2 linked regions of the Arabidopsis thaliana genome follow. The protein of the gene in region 1 interacts with the protein of each later gene in a pairwise test. Each region holds a gene or a part of one and is shown in the gene's direction. Other genes may lie near its edges.

Region 1 (8,673 bases):
TTTCATCATGAATATTACTAGTACTATTTATACTTATAATAACCTAAGTGCCTACAATATTTGGAGGTTAAGATGTTTTTGGGTATTTTAAATACTTTTGGCTATATTCGGATAAAAATACTTGGGTTTTGTAGATTTTTGAATATTTTCTAGTAGTTCGCATAGAATCGAATATAAATACTTTTTGATATTTTTTTATATTTAAATACTTCGTTAAACCTAAATCTGAACCGAATCTGAAGTTTTGAAATAAATAAATGGGTCCTATATTTCTAAATCTAAAACCAAAAAAGCCAACCCAAATATCCAAACGTCCAAACCTACCTTGAAGGATAAAGATTATTGCTGTTCTTTTTAAAAATGAGATATTACAATTACCATTTTCTCTAATATGTTAAAATTTTGTTATTTGGTTTAGAATAAAGAATTTGTCACACGCTTCTAAGATGTTAAAACTGTATGATCCATATGCTGCTATTCCGCAGATGTTACTCTCAATGTTCACTAAAAGAAAATGAACAAGTCTCTTTACATTACAGTAATAAATACATTGGAAAGCAGGTGAAAAAAAGAACAAAATCATCATGATGGTGGGCATTGGAATGAAGGCCTTAAAACAATTTTAACTAAAAGTCCATTGAACTACCCAAAAAAAGAGAGTAAAAACATCACAATTTGCGCTTTCTGGAACACCTTGATAAAGATCGTGTTAATTGTTACCACAAACCATATTAAACATTATAGTATTGAGAATTGATAAGTGGTGCACTAACACCAAACATCTGTTATTAAATATAAAATAAAAAAAAAACCTGAAATCCTTGTAGCAACATTTTCTTCTTAGCAAACAACCAAGAAACTATCAAAGAGAAACATGTTATCTTTATTGGCGAAGGCATAATTATAAGTAAAAATAATACAACCCAAAGAGCATCTCATTTTTTCTGGATTTACAAAAGAAAGCAAGAAAAAAGCTCTTGATTAAGATTTTCTATAAACCAAAATACTTAAGAAGACGAGCGAGAGTCACAATCCTAATTGGAAATTAAAGATTAAAATTCGGTGGGAAGAAAGATAGGCTCTAATTAACTTGGCATTATCTCAGCCGTCCACAACAAATAAGCGTCCTCGTCATCATCTTGAGATGATCTTACCTAAACCCTCAATGCCACGGCAGCGATGGTAGTCAGTAAGATGATCGTCGTGGTTCTGACGGATAGCTCTTCTCCACCGTTGGGATCACCACTCGTGCTGCTAGATGGTCCCATAGTAGTACTGTCAGGAAACGTTATCGTAGATGAAGTCGGCTTATCATTAGTGGGTAGTGTGCTGTTTGTTGAATTGCCTGTGGATGGATTTGTGGTGCCTGGACTTGCTGTGGTTGAATTTCCGGTGGATGGATATCCGGCAGTGGGGGTTCCGTTGGAACTACAAAAAGGTTACTCTTATAAACACACTTAAATCATCATCACAATTTTTAAGAAGATATAATTAATATTTTGGTAATAAATCAGTAATAAAGATTCTGTCACACATTAGTAGACAAATGACTGAACTATTTCAACGACTAGAATCATCAGAGAGCTCATTACTGATCTAAAGAAAACACTAAGCAAACGAAAACAGAGGGAAATAACCCTAATCTAAACTCTAAGGCAAGGTGATGTGAAACATACCTAGAACTAGATAAACAGCTTGACGTAGCTGCAAGAACAGAGTAAATAAAGAATCAGCAAAAAAAAAAAAAGATACACATTTGATGAAAAGAAGTTGTGGTTTTAATGGAAGGAATACTCGAAGGAGGGGAAGTGGAGATGACGGCGGCGCCGTTGAAGTCACATGTGGCACCGGTGGAAGCTTTCTTTTGATAGTAGCTGTTAACGGCAACGTCACAGTGGTTCTTGAGGGTGTTTGGTTGATAACAAGCTCCGGTCGTCTGAATCTGTGCACAGTCAGCACCTCCTCCACATGCGAAGTCTATCACCTTCTGAAGATCCAGCTCGTTAGCGTCCTTGCACACACAAACCGCCGCGTCTGTACAAAACAGATATCTCGGATTAGCATTACAAGGAAAACGTAACCAAGAAGCGAAAATGTCGGAACCATTTTGAGTCTTAATGCCAAGGGACAAAGAAATGTTCAAAGAAGATAGAAAGAACTTACTTGAATAGGTAAACATGAAAGAGAGAAGAAACAGAGGAAGCAAAACCGCCATGACTGCTTAAACTTGATCGGACTTGTCTAACACTGAGAGTACCACAAATGTGAGTTTGCGAGTTTGTTAGAGAGAGAGGAGATTATTCTGATATGATGATCGACAATTTATACTCTTTATGATATTTCTTGGGTACTAATAAGCAGAATACCCTAAGGCTTAAGTAAAGAAAAGTTCAGATATTATTGTGTGATGACTTGTAAATGTTAGATTTTGAGTACTCAAAGCAATGTGGGTCTCTGAAACAGAGAAGGTGAAAAGCATTCCTGTCGTCTAGTCAATGTGTGACTGTGGTCGGTCGACGCACGTAATATTGTAGGCTTTATGTGAAAAACTAGCTTTGTTAATTGTTATTCTTACTAATTTGTCACCTAAGTTTACGTACATCTGATGCATTCTTTTTTAGGATTTAGATAAGAGTCTAGCTTTCCACAAAGACAACAAAAGATGCATGCACACGTTTGCAAATGTAAAATGTTATTTAACATATTATAAGATAAAATAAGATAAAGATGTTTTTAAAGTAAAGTAATTTGATTTTGAAGCACTAACCGATGGAAAATAATGGAGAAAAACAGGGAAAAGAACACAAAACAATTGGAAATAGTATACACTCTTTAAAGGCAAAAACTTAAGTATTAAGTACTTTTTAAAGGCAAAGCGGCTAAGCGAGGGAGCCATGTGCAGGACAAACTTTGCATCCGCATTACAAAACGTGTGATTGTGTTACAACGTACAAGTCACAAAGTCACACAAATAATCCGAAATGGTGTTGACAGGGCGACCAGAAATAGCTATAAACCTTACCTAGCTCTAACGTAAGTAATCACTTTTTCCTTCTCAGTAATTTATTTTTATTGCTTCTCTTTGACTCTGGAGATGGACTCAACCTCTTATACAAGCTCCATGGCCGATTAAGGGACTTTGTTGGACCGAACTCCATGAATAATATGCCGTAATCTTAGATAAAAATTCCTTCTTATCATTCTATTTAATTTAAATGGATGTTTTCCTATCATGCTGATGTCAAGTATGAAACTCATCACCAACAATAACCATGAGCGAAAGATCTCGCTTAAATTTGTTGCAAACTGAATCGCTAATACCGAATAAGCGAAAAATATCCCAACACCAACCATTAAAAAGTGATTTGACGTTATATACATCCTTAACTTATATAAAAACCAAGCGTTTAAAACTAAAACCAACAAAAACACACTTGTAAGAAGAAAAACCATAGCATGTCCATTGCACATATGAGGAAGGTGTCTTTAGCAACATTTAAAAAATTTAAATTACAAAATATTAATAATTAAATGTGAGAGGTCTTTAAATTAAAGACATCTTTTCAAAAAAAGGTCTTCACCAAGACATTTAGACACAATGTTTTTAATTTAAAGACACACCTAAACATTAAATAATATATCTTCTGTTTAAATATTAAATTTTAATTGTGGAAGACTCCCTCATATGATGTATGTGTGGTTTCTTTGAAAAATCAAGGTTTGGGCTATATCTATTAATGGGCTGGGCTTTATACTAAAAGACTAAAACATGTCGAGGAGTCAAAGACAACTTCTGAAAAAAAGACATCAGATTTCTTGGATAATCTCTAAAATGCCACTGCCGTCATCGAGAACAGATCGTCACGACCGGAGTTAGTAGTGTCTAAAAACTCATCTGAGAGAGAAGAACTCAGAAAACCCTAAACACAGATAAACCCCAAAACTCAAAAACCAAATCTTTCCAACAATGGCGTCTCATCTCTTTACCCGATCTCGAATCTCTCTCCTCAAAACCCTAAAACCCAATCCTTTTACCTCAGCTTCACCCATCAGAGCCATTTCCGGTACACCATTCCTCTCTCAAGATCCTCTGCTCGCAACCGAATCAACAGATCACGACCCATCAAACCATCAATCAACCTCCACGCCGCTTCCACCGAATCCAGCAACAGGAAGTCCTCTTTACCAAGAGAATTGGCGTAGTCCGATCCCAAACACTCCTTCCTTCAACCAATCTCTAGTTCCATTAGGATTTCTAAATCAAGCTCCTGCTCCTCGTATCAGAGCTCTCTCTGAGACGCTTGACATGAACTCGCTGCTGAATATGTTTGCGGATTGGACTGCTTCGCAGCGTTGGTCTGACATGAAGCAGCTTTTTGAGGTTTGGGTTCGATCGCTTGACAAGAATGGGAAGCCGAATAAGCCTGATGTGAACCTTTACAATCATTACCTTCGAGCTAACTTGATGATGGGTGCTTCTGCTGGAGATATGCTTGATCTTGTTGCGCCAATGGAGGAGTTTTCTGTTGAACCTAATACAGCGTCTTATAATCTAGTTTTGAAGGCTATGTACCAGGCAAGAGAGACTGAAGCCGCCATGAAGCTGCTTGAACGGTTAGATTCTCTGAGTTCGTAGATAGATTCCTTTTTTGTACAATGAACAATGCTTCTAGAAATAGTGTAAAGATTAAGACTTTACATGATTGAACGGTAAGATTTGCTGATGAATCAAAGGTTATCTCTGCATAGCAGCTACTGATACTGTTGTCATGTAAATGTAGATCTTTTCAAAATGTATCATGACTTGATGTAATTTGGTCAGGATGCTCCTCTTGGGGAAGGACTCTCTTCCGGATGATGAATCATATGATTTGGTTATTGGAATGCATTTTGGAGTTGGGAAGAATGACGAAGCCATGAAAGTTATGGACACGGCACTGAAATCTGGTTATATGTTATCCACCAGTGTCTTTACTGAATGTGTTCGTAGTTGTGTAGCCAAAGGTAGGACAGATACACTGGTCTCCATCATCGAGAGGTGTAAGGTACAGATGAGTTTTTTGTTATCTTCTATTGACATTTGAAGCTTTTGCAGTCTCGTTTATCAATTATATGTGTATTTTTGTTTTGCAGGCTGTTGATCGGAACAAGTCTCTTTGCCCTAGCTGGATACTGTGTAACTATATTGCAGAAGTTGCAATTCAAGAGGATAATAGCAAGTTGGCCTTTTATGCGTTTGAATTTATGTTCAAGTGGATCACTAGAGGCGAAATGGCTAGGCCGTCGGTTATTTTTTCTGTTGATGAAGGGTTGGTAGTAGCAGGCCTTGCAAGTGCTGCTAGGACTTGTAGTTCATCTTTAGTGGAAGGATCATGGACGATTCTGAAACAGAGTCTGCGTGGGAGGAAGGCAGCCAACCCTGCATCTTACATTGCAAAGATTAATGCCTATGCATCGTTGGGGAATCTGCAAAAAGCTTTCACTTCACTTCATGAACTTGAATCCGCATACGCAGACTCTGAAAAAGAAGTTGTGGAGGAAATGCTTTCACCTTTTACATCATTATACCCGCTGGTTGTGGCGTGCTCTAAGAAAGGTTTTGAGACATTGGATGAGGTATACCTCGACTCTTCCTAAGGGTAAATATTCTATATATTCTCAGCTTTGTTCGTAACAAGAATTAAGGTAGGGTCTTTGGCTAAGATAGTTGTGAAATTTAATAGAACAAAACCAGAAAACCTGTTTATCGAAGTCGAGTATCATGGTCTGGATATTAATGCATTTTAGAGTGAAGCAGCTATAACGCTTAGCTTATCTGACCTTGCACTGTCACATAATCCACCAGGTATACTTCCAGTTGGAGAGTTTGAGTCAAGGTGATACTCCATATAAGTCTGTTGCTGCTCTAAACTGTATAATTCTTGGCTGCGCAAACACATGGGATCTGGATCGTGCTTATCAGACGTTTGAGGCAATAAGTGCCTCTTTTGGGCTGACTCCTAATATCGATTCATACAACGCTTTACTATATGCATTTGGAAAAGTCAAGAAGGTGCTGTTTCTATGTCAAATCACTCTCTAATATTTTCTTTTCATGAATTAACTATTTGGCCTTACGACTCTAGTCTATTTGCTTTGCAGACTTTCGAGGCCACGAATGTATTCGAGCATCTGGTTAGCATAGGTGTTAAACCTGATTCCCGGACGTATTCATTACTGGTTGATGCTCATCTCATTAACCGGGATCCCAAATCAGCTCTGACCGTCGTTGATGACATGGTAAACCAGAATTAACAGACAAAACCTAACCTCTATGAGAGAATGATGTGTGTCTGAGAAACTAATGCATGTTCTAATTATACAGATCAAGGCTGGATTTGAACCCTCTAGGGAGACATTGAAAAAGCTGAGAAGGAGATGTGTCAGGGAAATGGACGATGAAAACGATGATCAAGTGGAGGCATTGGCCAAGAAGTTTCAGATCAGAATGGGAAGCGAGAACCGCAGGAACATGCTGTTCAACATAGACTACTCCAGGGGCCGAGCATTAAACAATTGAAATCCAAAATGGATGGTTGTAATAACGAACCCTTGTGAGAAGTAAGGAATGAAGCCCCGGCTCATCTAGTTTTGAAGTTATGGATCATCATGCCCAGTGTTTCATTGATGTATATTGCTTCATTTTATTCTTCCGAGTCTCTTAATCTGATTTTTATCCAATACATTACTTGGCTTCTTTTTTTCTTTTTCGGAAACCAATAGAGTTGGGTTCTTACTTTCTTAGGATCGATAGTCTTAGGAAGATGCTTTTGCATTGACCAATAATGTCAAAACCTTTGGAATATTTTGACTTTTATCTTCTTTGAATCTAAAGAGTTAAATTCAACCCTATATTAATTGATTTTAGTTTTAAAATGATTTTATGTTTTTGGATGACTTTAGGAAAAATGTTATTTGTTGTAAAATCTCCCAAATCTCACTTAAAAAAGTTAAAGCCATGAGATTTATAATTTTGTATATTTAACTAAACAAAATTATCTAAAACCCCTTAAAATGAGTGCAAAAAATAACATTCAATAACATTAGATTTTAAAATGAGTGCAGAAAAAGAATTAGATTTTAAAATAATCATTGTGTGTGGGATGAAAGCACAAAGACAAGGCCTTAAATATGGGCCGGCCCAGTTCAGAGATCAAACAAGCACTCCTGTATATATACACAAATCACAAACAGCTTATGAGAAGTTTTCAACACATTTGGGATCAAAGCCACAAAACCCTAAAAAATGGGTGGAAGAACGGACGAAAGTGGCGGAGGAGGTAAAGAGAAAGAGGAAGAGCAAGATGGTTTGTCCGTACACTCTCCCTGTAAAGCTTTACCTTCCTCCGCCTCCTCTCTCTCCAAGGTCTCTCTCTCTCTTTCTCTCTATCTCTCTACCATTTCTGTTCCTGAGATTTTAAAGGTTCCTCTTTTATTGGATTTGCTTCTCAGGAGCAGTCACAGGTTGAATTAGAGCTAAGGTTATTAGAAGCCCTTGAAATCTATCCTCCTGTTAAACTCCGAGGCAAGTTTCACTTCTCAAATCTTGATCCTTTAGCTACGTTCTATATGCTTCTGCCAATGTTTACTTTTGTATCATGATAGTTATCAGAAACCATTATCAAATGCAATCATTTCAATGTCTATTGTTCTTGCACATTGATCAGTTTGTTGGTTTCTTGATTTCTTCTGCTAATGGGATCATGATGGTGTGCAGGGATACATCGCCACTTTGTTCTTTATGGTCTGATGGAGTATCTCGGAAGAAGGTTTGTTGTTCTCAGAGTTTCTTTCATACTTCCAATACATACATGAGTCTCTGATCCTTATTGATTGAGTCTTTCTATCAAACTATTCCTGTACATAGCTTTGACCGACCGTTCACTGCGGATGAGGTTCTGCAGCTACTCGATCGTTTTTACAACATTGAGATGCTGGTGAGTAGTAATTACAACAAGCATTGATTGTTATTTTGGTCCCATAGCTTTAGTTTCACTTCATGGCATTGTTTAGAGTTGTGGTGATGGTTTTATTAATCTGTTACCTCTGTTTTGTTTCTTAGAAATCAGATGATGAGGACATAGACATTCTGAATCACGAGGAAGACTTTACCTTGCCGCAGAGTTTCTTTGATAAGGAAGAAGAATGACAGAGGAAGAAGAAAAGATGTTTTCTTTTCATTCATCTTCTCCCATCTTTTTGTATATGGTTAGGTTTTGTCTTCAGCTCTTATGATAAGCTTTTTTCTATATATTCTGAAGTTTTAATGTCAATAAAACCATCAGGATCAATGAATAATCTTTTTGTTACTCTGTCCAGAGAGTTAATAATCATAACAAGCTTTTTGCGGTTTTCGCTCTTTTCATGTTTGCATTTAGAGCCAGGGTTGTGTTTGTTTGGCAATTTTTGATACACATTTGATTGATCTGATGGGAATGTATGATAGCAAAAGCATATGCTGATCAAATCATAATAAAATTGCGTAACATAAAATACTTGATGACATGAAAATTGAGAACAAAATAAAGAAGACGAAAAGTAATACAAAAAAGAAACAATATAGGATTGAATTCAATTGTCTCTGATCTCATCTTCCTGATGAAACCAAGCTATGGAATTTAAAGGAATTTGCCT
Region 2 (8,907 bases), on another chromosome or scaffold:
GTATTATTCAGACAATCTAAATATCTCCCGTAGTTTTCTTATAATTAAAATCTAACACATTTTAAAAATTTATGTAAAAAACGAAGAAGTTATTTTATTAAACTATAAATAACCTTTTCTTTATAACTCTCTGCTTCTATCTTTCGAGCATTGAAATGATTAAAAAAAAATTAGTGGTGTTTTCAACATAGATCATGACAGGCAAACCCTAGATTTTACTTCACCTACTTGAGGTTAAAAAACTTAATTGCAAGTAGGCCAGACATCGGATCTTCTCTCTTAAGGGCTAAGCAAAACCCATCTCTCCTCTTTCTTCTATCTTCTTTCTCTTCCTTCTCTCTTCTCTTGTATAAACTCCACTGAGCTCTGTTTTTGTTTTTACCGTAGATCGTTTCGAGTCTCTTTAATCTTTGGCGGGTTCCGTAAAAAAAAAAATGGCCTCTTCTAGATTCCAATCTGGGTTTTGTCCTATCTCTTCGTGTCCCTCTCTTGAGAATTTCATCGAAAGGATTAAAGACGCATGTCGTTTCACCCTCTCCGCTGTTCTAGGGACAATTCTCTCGGCGGTCTTGACTTTCTTCTTCGCTTTAGGTCGGTCTCTTGTTTCCTATTACAATTTCTTGATTCTTTTCAAGAATGTCTCTCCACTTCTTGGAAACTTTTATGAAGCTTTTTGTCCTGCTTTGGATTGATTTGATCATTGATATCACTTTACTGTTGAGTAGGGTAGAATCTGCAACTTTGGGTTTTTATGTAGAGCTAAGAAAGTTGTTTCCTTCTTCAGTGGGCACATTGCTTGGAGCACTTACTGGAGCTTTGATAGGCCAAGAAACCGAAAGTGGGTTTATCCGAGGAGCGGCGGTTGGAGCCATTTCGGGAGCTGTTTTCTCTATCGAAGTCTTTGAGTCATCTCTTGTTCTTTGGAAATCTAATGAGTCACGTTTTGGATGTCTCCTCTACTTGGTGAGCTGAGATCTTCATTTGAACTACTCATCTGCTCTGTTTTTTTCCAGATTTGATTCGAACTGATTCTTGTTTCTTGTTAATCTTTGTGTAGATTGATGTCATTGTTAGTCTGATAAGTGGTAGACTTGTGCGGGAACGAATAGGTCCAGCAATGCTAAGTGCGGTTCAAAGTCAGGTACAGTTTTTTATTAGCAATGTGTTATTGGTTCCATTATCAGCAATGAGATCTCCTCTAATCATATTCATCTCTCTTCTCACTGATCAGATGGGAGCTGTGGATTCAACTTTCGAAGAGCTCTCGAGTATTTTCGATACCGGTGGCTCAAAGGGGTTAACAGGAGATTTGGTTGATAAAATACCTAAAATCAAAATCACTGGCAAAAACAACTTAGATGCTTCTGGCAACAAAGACTCATGTTCTGTTTGTCTTCAGGTTTTTTGCTCATTTCAGCTCAAACGAAATCTTAATTCCCCAAATGCAGAACCAAAAGGTTTAGTTCTTGATCTTCTTTTGTGTAACTTTTTGCAGGATTTTCAACTTGGTGAAACGGTGAGAAGCTTGCCACATTGTCATCACATGTTTCACTTGCCTTGCATAGACAATTGGCTCTTCAGGCACGGATCTTGTCCAATGTGTAGACGCGATCTGTAATCTCTTTTCTTACCATTTGCACAGCCTCTTCCCTCTCTCTCCTTCTTCTTGTATGGTCGTAAATTCGTAATCATGTGGTTAGAGTCTCTATATATGTACAAAGAAATGAAAAAAAAAAAGTTTTGAAATAAGTTGATCTTAACCAAACCCATTAAATTCAAGACTTTAGATTGTGTGTTGGTCTCACCAAACTTTGAAGTGAGTGATTGAATTTTCGTAAATACAACTACATTCAGTAGTTATGACGTGAAGGAAAGAAATTGAATTCTATGTGTGAATCTATGGCTCGTGTGGGCCTCCAGGAGATAAAATCATGCCAAATCACATTTCTTGATTTGGTTTGTTAATTAGCTCTTCTTACATCTAAACAAAACATTAATAATACTCACCAACACGTAATTAATTACAATGTCAATTTTGGCTAGTGCAATTATTACGAGAGCTTTCCGTGTTGTAACTTGTCATTTGGTTAAATGTTTTACTTAACAAACAAAGTGAATAATAATATGGTTATGTTGATCAGTCTCTATCTTTTTTCATGATGCTTTTTCTAGGTTTGCCTATAAGTCCTCTATATTTGGGGGGTCTTTTGAATTACATGGAACTTTATAAAAACTTTAAACATTTATTTCAAGAGTAGTCTGTTGTATTTAAAGTTTAGTTAAAAGAGTATTCAACGTTGTATCTGGTCATCTGGCACTTTAATTACTTAAATTTATAAAATATGAACCACAGGTTTTTAATCACGGGAAGCAGTATCGACTGAACAACTACTACAAAATTCTACAAGTGTTGTCGTGTGTTGATTGAAAAGTGTTTTTGAAATTCGTTTTCGAAAATGGAATTGCACGAGCTTTGATTAAAATAAAGGTTTCTTTTGGTCAATAGTTCTCACTTAACGCAAGAAGAACAAATATTAGTTGTCTTCACGTGATCTTCCGACAGATTCAAAGTTTTAATTAGTTGGGACATCCCCCAACTGTAATAATATCTTTTTCTCCATCATCATCGTTTCTTCTTCGGTACACGTGGCAGCCACGTGAACCACTCGATAGCCACGTGATCATCGTCAACTGGTTCTGCATATTAAGCCCAATAACCCATCAAGGCCCATACAGTGAGCATAAGCTTTTAAAATTCCGATCCATTAAATCAAACCGGTTAACTCCCGGTTAGATCTGTATATTTTCCGGTTTATGTTTATTCCCTAAACCCTGAGGCCTGAGCTGATGATATATCCTTTTTTCCGACGGCGGAACTCGATTATACAGTTTTCCTCTCTCTCACTCTCTCCGTAGTCTGAGACTCGCCGGAAAAGCTTGTATTGGCTTCTCTTCGATTTCTGGCGGAAGTAAGGATATCACGTGAGCTATGAAGTTCCTCATGCAATCCATTTCTGGTATGCTTTTATGGACTTTTCATCCTCGTGACTAACTAGATAGATCCCATTTTGCATCTGTCATGAATCGATCTTTATCCTTTTGATTCAATCGACTGCACATTCGTCCTTAATGTTAGTTTTTGATTCGACGGAAACAGGGAGGAATCGATCTCTGGTTCGAGCTCTAGTTAGTCGGCGTTACTTCGCTTCATCGCCGGAGGAAATCGCAAAGAGAAATTACGCCAACGATCTGTCGGAATACAACACCGCTGTCAACTCCGTCACAGCTCAGCGCAGGTTTATTTTCCCCCCTTGATTTGTATTGCTCATTGTGTTCAGAACATGGGGGGATCCAATATGAATGTGATGAGATATTGAGATTGAGAACTCTTTTGCCATGATAATATATACTTGGTTACTTCATTGGTCCATGCTTAAATATATGATAAATCTTTTCTTTTTTGGGTAGGCACTATTTGCTGAGGGATGTTTATGATGATATGAAGCTTGATGGTGTGCAGCCTACAGCTGATATCTTCCATTCATTTGTCGTGGGAACGATGAAGGGTGCTCGGTTAAGCGATGCGTTCTTTTTCCGGGAAGAAATGAAAGCCATGGGGATTGCTCCAGATGTATGTCCTATGATCTTGTTGTTTTTTACTCTTACATTGCATAGAATAAACTCGTCTTGTTGATTTATGTTCCTAAGAAAAGGTGAAATATAGAAAATCTAGCAGCTGATTGAGCGATTCCTTATTCAATGATTTAGACTTTACAGAATGAGTCCGTCCATCCGTGGCTTGTGTTGTTCACCGTGCGTTCATTCTTGTAGGTGAACTTGTACAACTTTTTAATTTCCACATGTGGGAAATGCAAGAATGGAAAGGAGGCAATCCGAGTATGTTATCTTCCACTTGCTTTAATGGAAGACCTTTTTTTTTTCTTTTACATTCCTTGATTTTCATTCATTAATGAAACTTTTGGTTGTCTTACTGTAAGGTCTATGACGAGATGAAGAGATATGATGTAAAACCAAATGGACAGACCTTTGTCTGCCTGCTCAATGCCTGCGCTGTTTCTGGCCAGTTAGATCTTGTGTAGGTTACCACTGCTTCTATTGTCTTTTGAGTGCTCACTAATTGAAATGATACTCTTTGATAAGCTTTTATCCCACTTTTCTCTGTTTTAAGTAAGTACTTGTTTATCTCTTCAGCGCTATCTAAGAAGTGATCTAATCTTTTTCTTATCTGACATCAAATAAATTGTTAGATATGCGATAGTTCGGGATATGACTGCTGCTGGTGTTGGTTTGAACCAGTTCTGCTATGCGGGACTCATAACTGCACACTTAAACAAGCAGCCCAGACCAGATAATCTTTCTACTAAGGTAACGTGTAAAGGTTTCTTGTTCAGATTTCCTTTTATTTTTTTTAAAGTAGGTTTTCTCACAGCCTCCTTTTTGCTCAAAAGATTCTCGAGTTTGTGGAGCAGTCAAAAGGCTGGTCAGCAATTGATTCATCAAGGAAGAGTGCAGAAGATGTGATGTTTAGCATCAGTGAAGAAGAGCTGTACAATATTCCAACCGCTGATTATTCCCACAGGACCAGGTTTCTGCAGAGGAATTTGACTGTGTATCACGTAGCATTCAGTGCTCTCGCTGATCTGAAGGATGTAAAAGTAAGATGATCTGTCTATCTAGATTCCAAAATGTCCTGAACTTAGTGGGAATAAAGATAAAGATAAGAAAAGCCAGTTTCGGAGTTTATTTTTGCATCTTACCAGCAATTCCTCATGGCAGGCAACGGAAGCTCTTCTTGAGATGCTTAAGAAAGACGGAAAAGATACTGACACTTACTGCATGCTACAAATCATGAGGTACAATAGAACACACACTTTGATGTTAATTTGCATCTAGATGTTAAAACATAGGCAGTCTTTAGCTACGAAATTAACTTTTGTTACTAGTATACTACACTATTAACTCTCGTTGAGAATCAAAACATGATTAACGTATATGCATCTTATTTTATATCTACGCAGGTGCTATCTACATTCGCAAGACTTTGAGAATGGTCTCAAACTGTTTCAAGATTACATGAGCGCAGACAAAATCCCTGCCATGGAACTATACACGGTAACACAATGATCTGACCTCATAACTGGTGTTTTCTATATTTGCTTTGAGAGTGAACGTCTTCTTTACTATATATGTCTTATAGTTGTTGATTCTCAATTGTCAAACCCCGCAAATGTATATACAAATAAATCTAAATTCTCAACTAACGCATTAGTCGAAGAGAATTATGCTTCTGTCCTGTTTCCCATACTTGGTTCAACATATCTTTGGGTGATATGTATATGCTGAAGATGTCAATTTATTTGTTTTATTTTTACAGACGCTTATAGAAGGAGCTATGACAGGATACACCGATAATGGAATGAAGATTGCTCAGGACACTCTGGTAATGCTTATTGGCTCGAGCTGTACTGAAAAAAAGAATCTATGAAGTAAACAAAACACGGGCCAATAGTAGAGCCTGATGACAATTTGTTTGTAAATGCAGATCCAAATGAACGAACGCAATTTCTTCTTAGACCCAAGAACTGGAAGCAATCTGTTACTCAAAGCCGCTGGTGAAAAGGTAAAAATCTTGAACTTCCCCTAAAAACTTTGGAAATATCTTACTGATATAAAGAGTTGGCTTAGTGAAAGTTAAAAAAAAAAAAACATTTTCTTTATGGCAGACGGGAGGGTACACAGTTGCAAATATGATATGGGATCTGATGCTAGCTCGGAATATTCTACCAACACTAGCTGCTGTTGAAGCTTACTACAAGGGCTTGAAAGTAATAAAAAACCTTTTTCTTATTTGACCACAAACTTTCTTTCTCTTGGTATTAGTTATTGATGGTTTTTGTGGTGTGGTAATCATAGGAACGCGAAATACCAGAGGATGATCCGAGACTGATGTTAGTGACGCGAACATACAATAACTTGCGGCTTAGGGAAGGGACATTACCTAATAGGCGTTAAAGCAAAGGGACCAAGAGGAAGAAAGATGGTATCATGGCTTCTTCGTTTTCTACTTCTATTTGCTTATTGGGATCTCTGTGAACCATCTGGGTATTTTAAAACCAGTTCGTTTAGATGAATAAGGAAATTTCACCTAGATGATGACTGGATATTATTCTGATTTGATTTCAATTACTTAACCTTGAGAGCTTCATACAAAGCGACAACGTTTTAAATAAGCCAACGCCTGTTTGGTTTATAAAGATCAGCCTGTTCACTCTTAAATGCACCCGTTTGGTTTTTTGATAAAAGACAATCTGGGAAAAAGAGAAAAAAAGAAAGAAAGAAAGAGAAACTATACATTCTGGTGTATCCATTTGCAGAGGTAAATAGAAGCAATAGTAGTTTCTGAATCACCAGATTACAGCAGATATGTGACACCTCTCTCGAGGATTTTTTAACCACAACAGCCACCTCCCTGAGAGATCGTACCATCTCTTCCTCCAGCTGCACCTTGAGTACGCCCGTAACCAATCTTGATACCTGATGACTGCAAAATTTAGAGAGACCAAGGGAATTGAATCACATTGTAACACAATCGAGGGATTAGAGAACACCAGAAGACTAAGTATATTGCCAGATTCAACAAGGAAATTACCTCGTTGGATACATCAAAGACACCATCCTGAATGTTCTGGAGGATCTTGGCAGCAGTCTCTATGAAGGCCTGTTGGAATCCAGAAAAAGAAGACAAAAGTCTCCATGTGATTACAGCCAAATAACAGGATGGGGAAAAAGAGTTGCAAGGAAGAAATGTCACCTCCTCAACGTTTTGAGCAGTTCTTGCAGATGCTTCTAAGAATAGCAGGCCATGTTCTTTGGCAAACTGTTGACCTTCCTCTTTGCTAACAGCTCTCTTGTGAGCAAGATCACATTTGTTCCCAATCAGCATAATACTCATGTTAGGATTTGCATGTTGCCGAGCATCCTCCAACCAGCTTGCCAGATGGTTAAACGTCTCTCTCCTGCAACCCAAAGAACCAAGAATTTTGAGCTTCAGAAAGATCAAAGCATGAAAAACCTCAATGATAAAACTCTTGCAATTCTTCATGTCCTTCATAACTTTCAAAATTCCAAAACAATGGAGGAAAAATATCTATTTTAGCAAGAATTTAAGATGGATGGTTAACTTAACATCCTCCCAAACAAGCATTGCCAATATTATAGCCAAGGATTTTGTTCAGATAAAAGTAACTTCCCAATTTCCAAAACCTTTCCAACAGTCTAGGTTTATCAAATCACAAATACAGAACCAATCACTTCCAAAACCTTGCTGGGGAATTCAGAAGTTCGAGCTGATATATATTGTCGCAAGGCAAAAACTAACCTGGTGATGTCATAAACCAGTAAAGCTCCGGCTGCTCCTCTGTAGTATGATCTGGTGATGGATCTAAAAGATTCTTGTCCAGCCTAAAAAATATCATACGAAACTTTAATCAGAAAGCACAACTCCAACACATACATCATCTAATGGAAGAACTATTGACCAGAAGAAATCACAACAAGGAATGCACTGGTGAACTCAGCTTCTATTACAATAAGCCTATGAAACTTAATCAAGAACCGTGCAATGATTAACTTTTTTGAAATTTTACCCCACTTTGAGTCTCTGGACATGATTTTCAAACATAATTTTTGGTATTGGCAATTCTAATGAGGCATTGTTTATATAAAAACGAAGAAATTGAATTGATTATGACAATTAATCTTCTTAATCACATCCTGCCTTAGGGAGAAAAAAAAAACAATCCTAATCGATAAAACGTGATTAGTTCCCTGATGACCTAATTACGACCAAGAGAAGAGAGAGGAAGCGTACGGTGTCCCAAATTTGGAGTTTGATGGGGCGTCCATCGACGGTGACCATCCGAGCACCGAACTCAACACCAATGGTGAGATCGTGGACTGGTTGGAACCTCTTATCAGTAAATTGCAGAAGCAGACACGATTTTCCCACACCTGAAACGACAAAAAAAACAACAACGAAAACACATGAAAATCGGCACGAAATGGATTTAACCCAGAAAAATAAAACAATTGGGAATTAAGAAAGGTGAAAGATCGGTCTCTCACCTGTGTCTCCGATGATTATGTACTTGAAGAGATAATCGTAAGACATGGTTGATGAATTTGAGCAAGGTCGATGATGAATTAGCGCAGGTCGATGGGTTCGAGAGAAGGAGATGTGAAAGAGAGGAAGAAGAGATTGAAGAGTACAAGTCACCGACGTGCTTTTTGATTTCGAGGTTTCTCGATGAAGAAGCTATCTTCTCCTTCTCATCTTTTATAATCTTTTTACTTAATTACTAAAATTAAAGGGATCTAATGACGAATTATCTGAATAATTGTTTTTCTTTTGTATCCTTAAGTTTCAACAGTAAATAAAAATCCACACAAAATACTCTATAGTATAATTTATTAATTATTATAGTCGTTTTAGTTAATTATTTAAAAACAGAGGGACCAGATGAAAAATATCTGGGAAACAAATTAAAGCTTAAAATCCATCTCTGCCTTTGGCTCCGTCCACTCTGACTCGACTAGTGCATCATCCATTGTTGGGCATTTGATAGTTTAAAGTGGGCTTTTTTATTTTTTTATAATGTGGGCTTTTTTCTTTGATGTTGAATGGCTTGGTTAGTGGATTTCGAGACCAGCATAAGTTTCTTTTTTCTATTCATCTGAAGCATGGCGCAGTCCATAATCGCTAAATTGATGATACAAAAGAACTTGCACATCAAAACTGTGAACTTACCAGAAATTTGCATTAGCAAAAGCTTCTTTTATTATATGATGGGGAATACACACGTACCTTGATACAAGGCTACTAATATC

Evidence for each region.
Region 2: the proteins of AT1G26460 (region 1) and AT4G35850 interact in a two-hybrid assay, tested with the Arabidopsis thaliana proteins (one large-scale study listed by BioGRID).

The regions. Positions count from the first base shown.
Region 1 is NC_003070.9:9,147,849-9,156,521, forward strand, and holds AT1G26460 (Tetratricopeptide repeat (TPR)-like superfamily protein), read left to right. Parts: upstream 1-3,779; 5' UTR 3,780-3,967; coding exon 3,968-4,614; intron 4,615-4,822; coding exon 4,823-5,045; intron 5,046-5,133; coding exon 5,134-5,616; intron 5,617-5,845; coding exon 5,846-6,052; intron 6,053-6,141; coding exon 6,142-6,279; intron 6,280-6,364; coding exon 6,365-6,559; 3' UTR 6,560-6,914; downstream 6,915-8,673. Other genes in the region: AT1G26450 (Carbohydrate-binding X8 domain superfamily protein), read right to left, coding at 1,155-1,428, 1,677-1,704, 1,795-2,034, 2,164-2,215; AT1G26470 (chromatin modification-like protein), read left to right, coding at 7,286-7,405, 7,492-7,564, 7,757-7,808, 7,907-7,976, 8,102-8,188.
Region 2 is NC_003075.7:16,980,649-16,989,555, forward strand, and holds AT4G35850 (Pentatricopeptide repeat (PPR) superfamily protein), read left to right. Parts: upstream 1-2,876; 5' UTR 2,877-2,989; coding exon 2,990-3,017; intron 3,018-3,157; coding exon 3,158-3,296; intron 3,297-3,468; coding exon 3,469-3,631; intron 3,632-3,831; coding exon 3,832-3,897; intron 3,898-3,998; coding exon 3,999-4,096; intron 4,097-4,268; coding exon 4,269-4,386; intron 4,387-4,469; coding exon 4,470-4,676; intron 4,677-4,797; coding exon 4,798-4,874; intron 4,875-5,039; coding exon 5,040-5,133; intron 5,134-5,395; coding exon 5,396-5,461; intron 5,462-5,563; coding exon 5,564-5,641; intron 5,642-5,744; coding exon 5,745-5,846; intron 5,847-5,934; coding exon 5,935-6,033; 3' UTR 6,034-6,319; downstream 6,320-8,907. Other genes in the region: AT4G35840 (RING/U-box superfamily protein), read left to right, coding at 435-591, 785-963, 1,058-1,141, 1,232-1,618; GB2 (GTP-binding 2), read right to left, coding at 6,470-6,562, 6,671-6,739, 6,833-7,037, 7,400-7,482, 7,892-8,031, 8,146-8,191.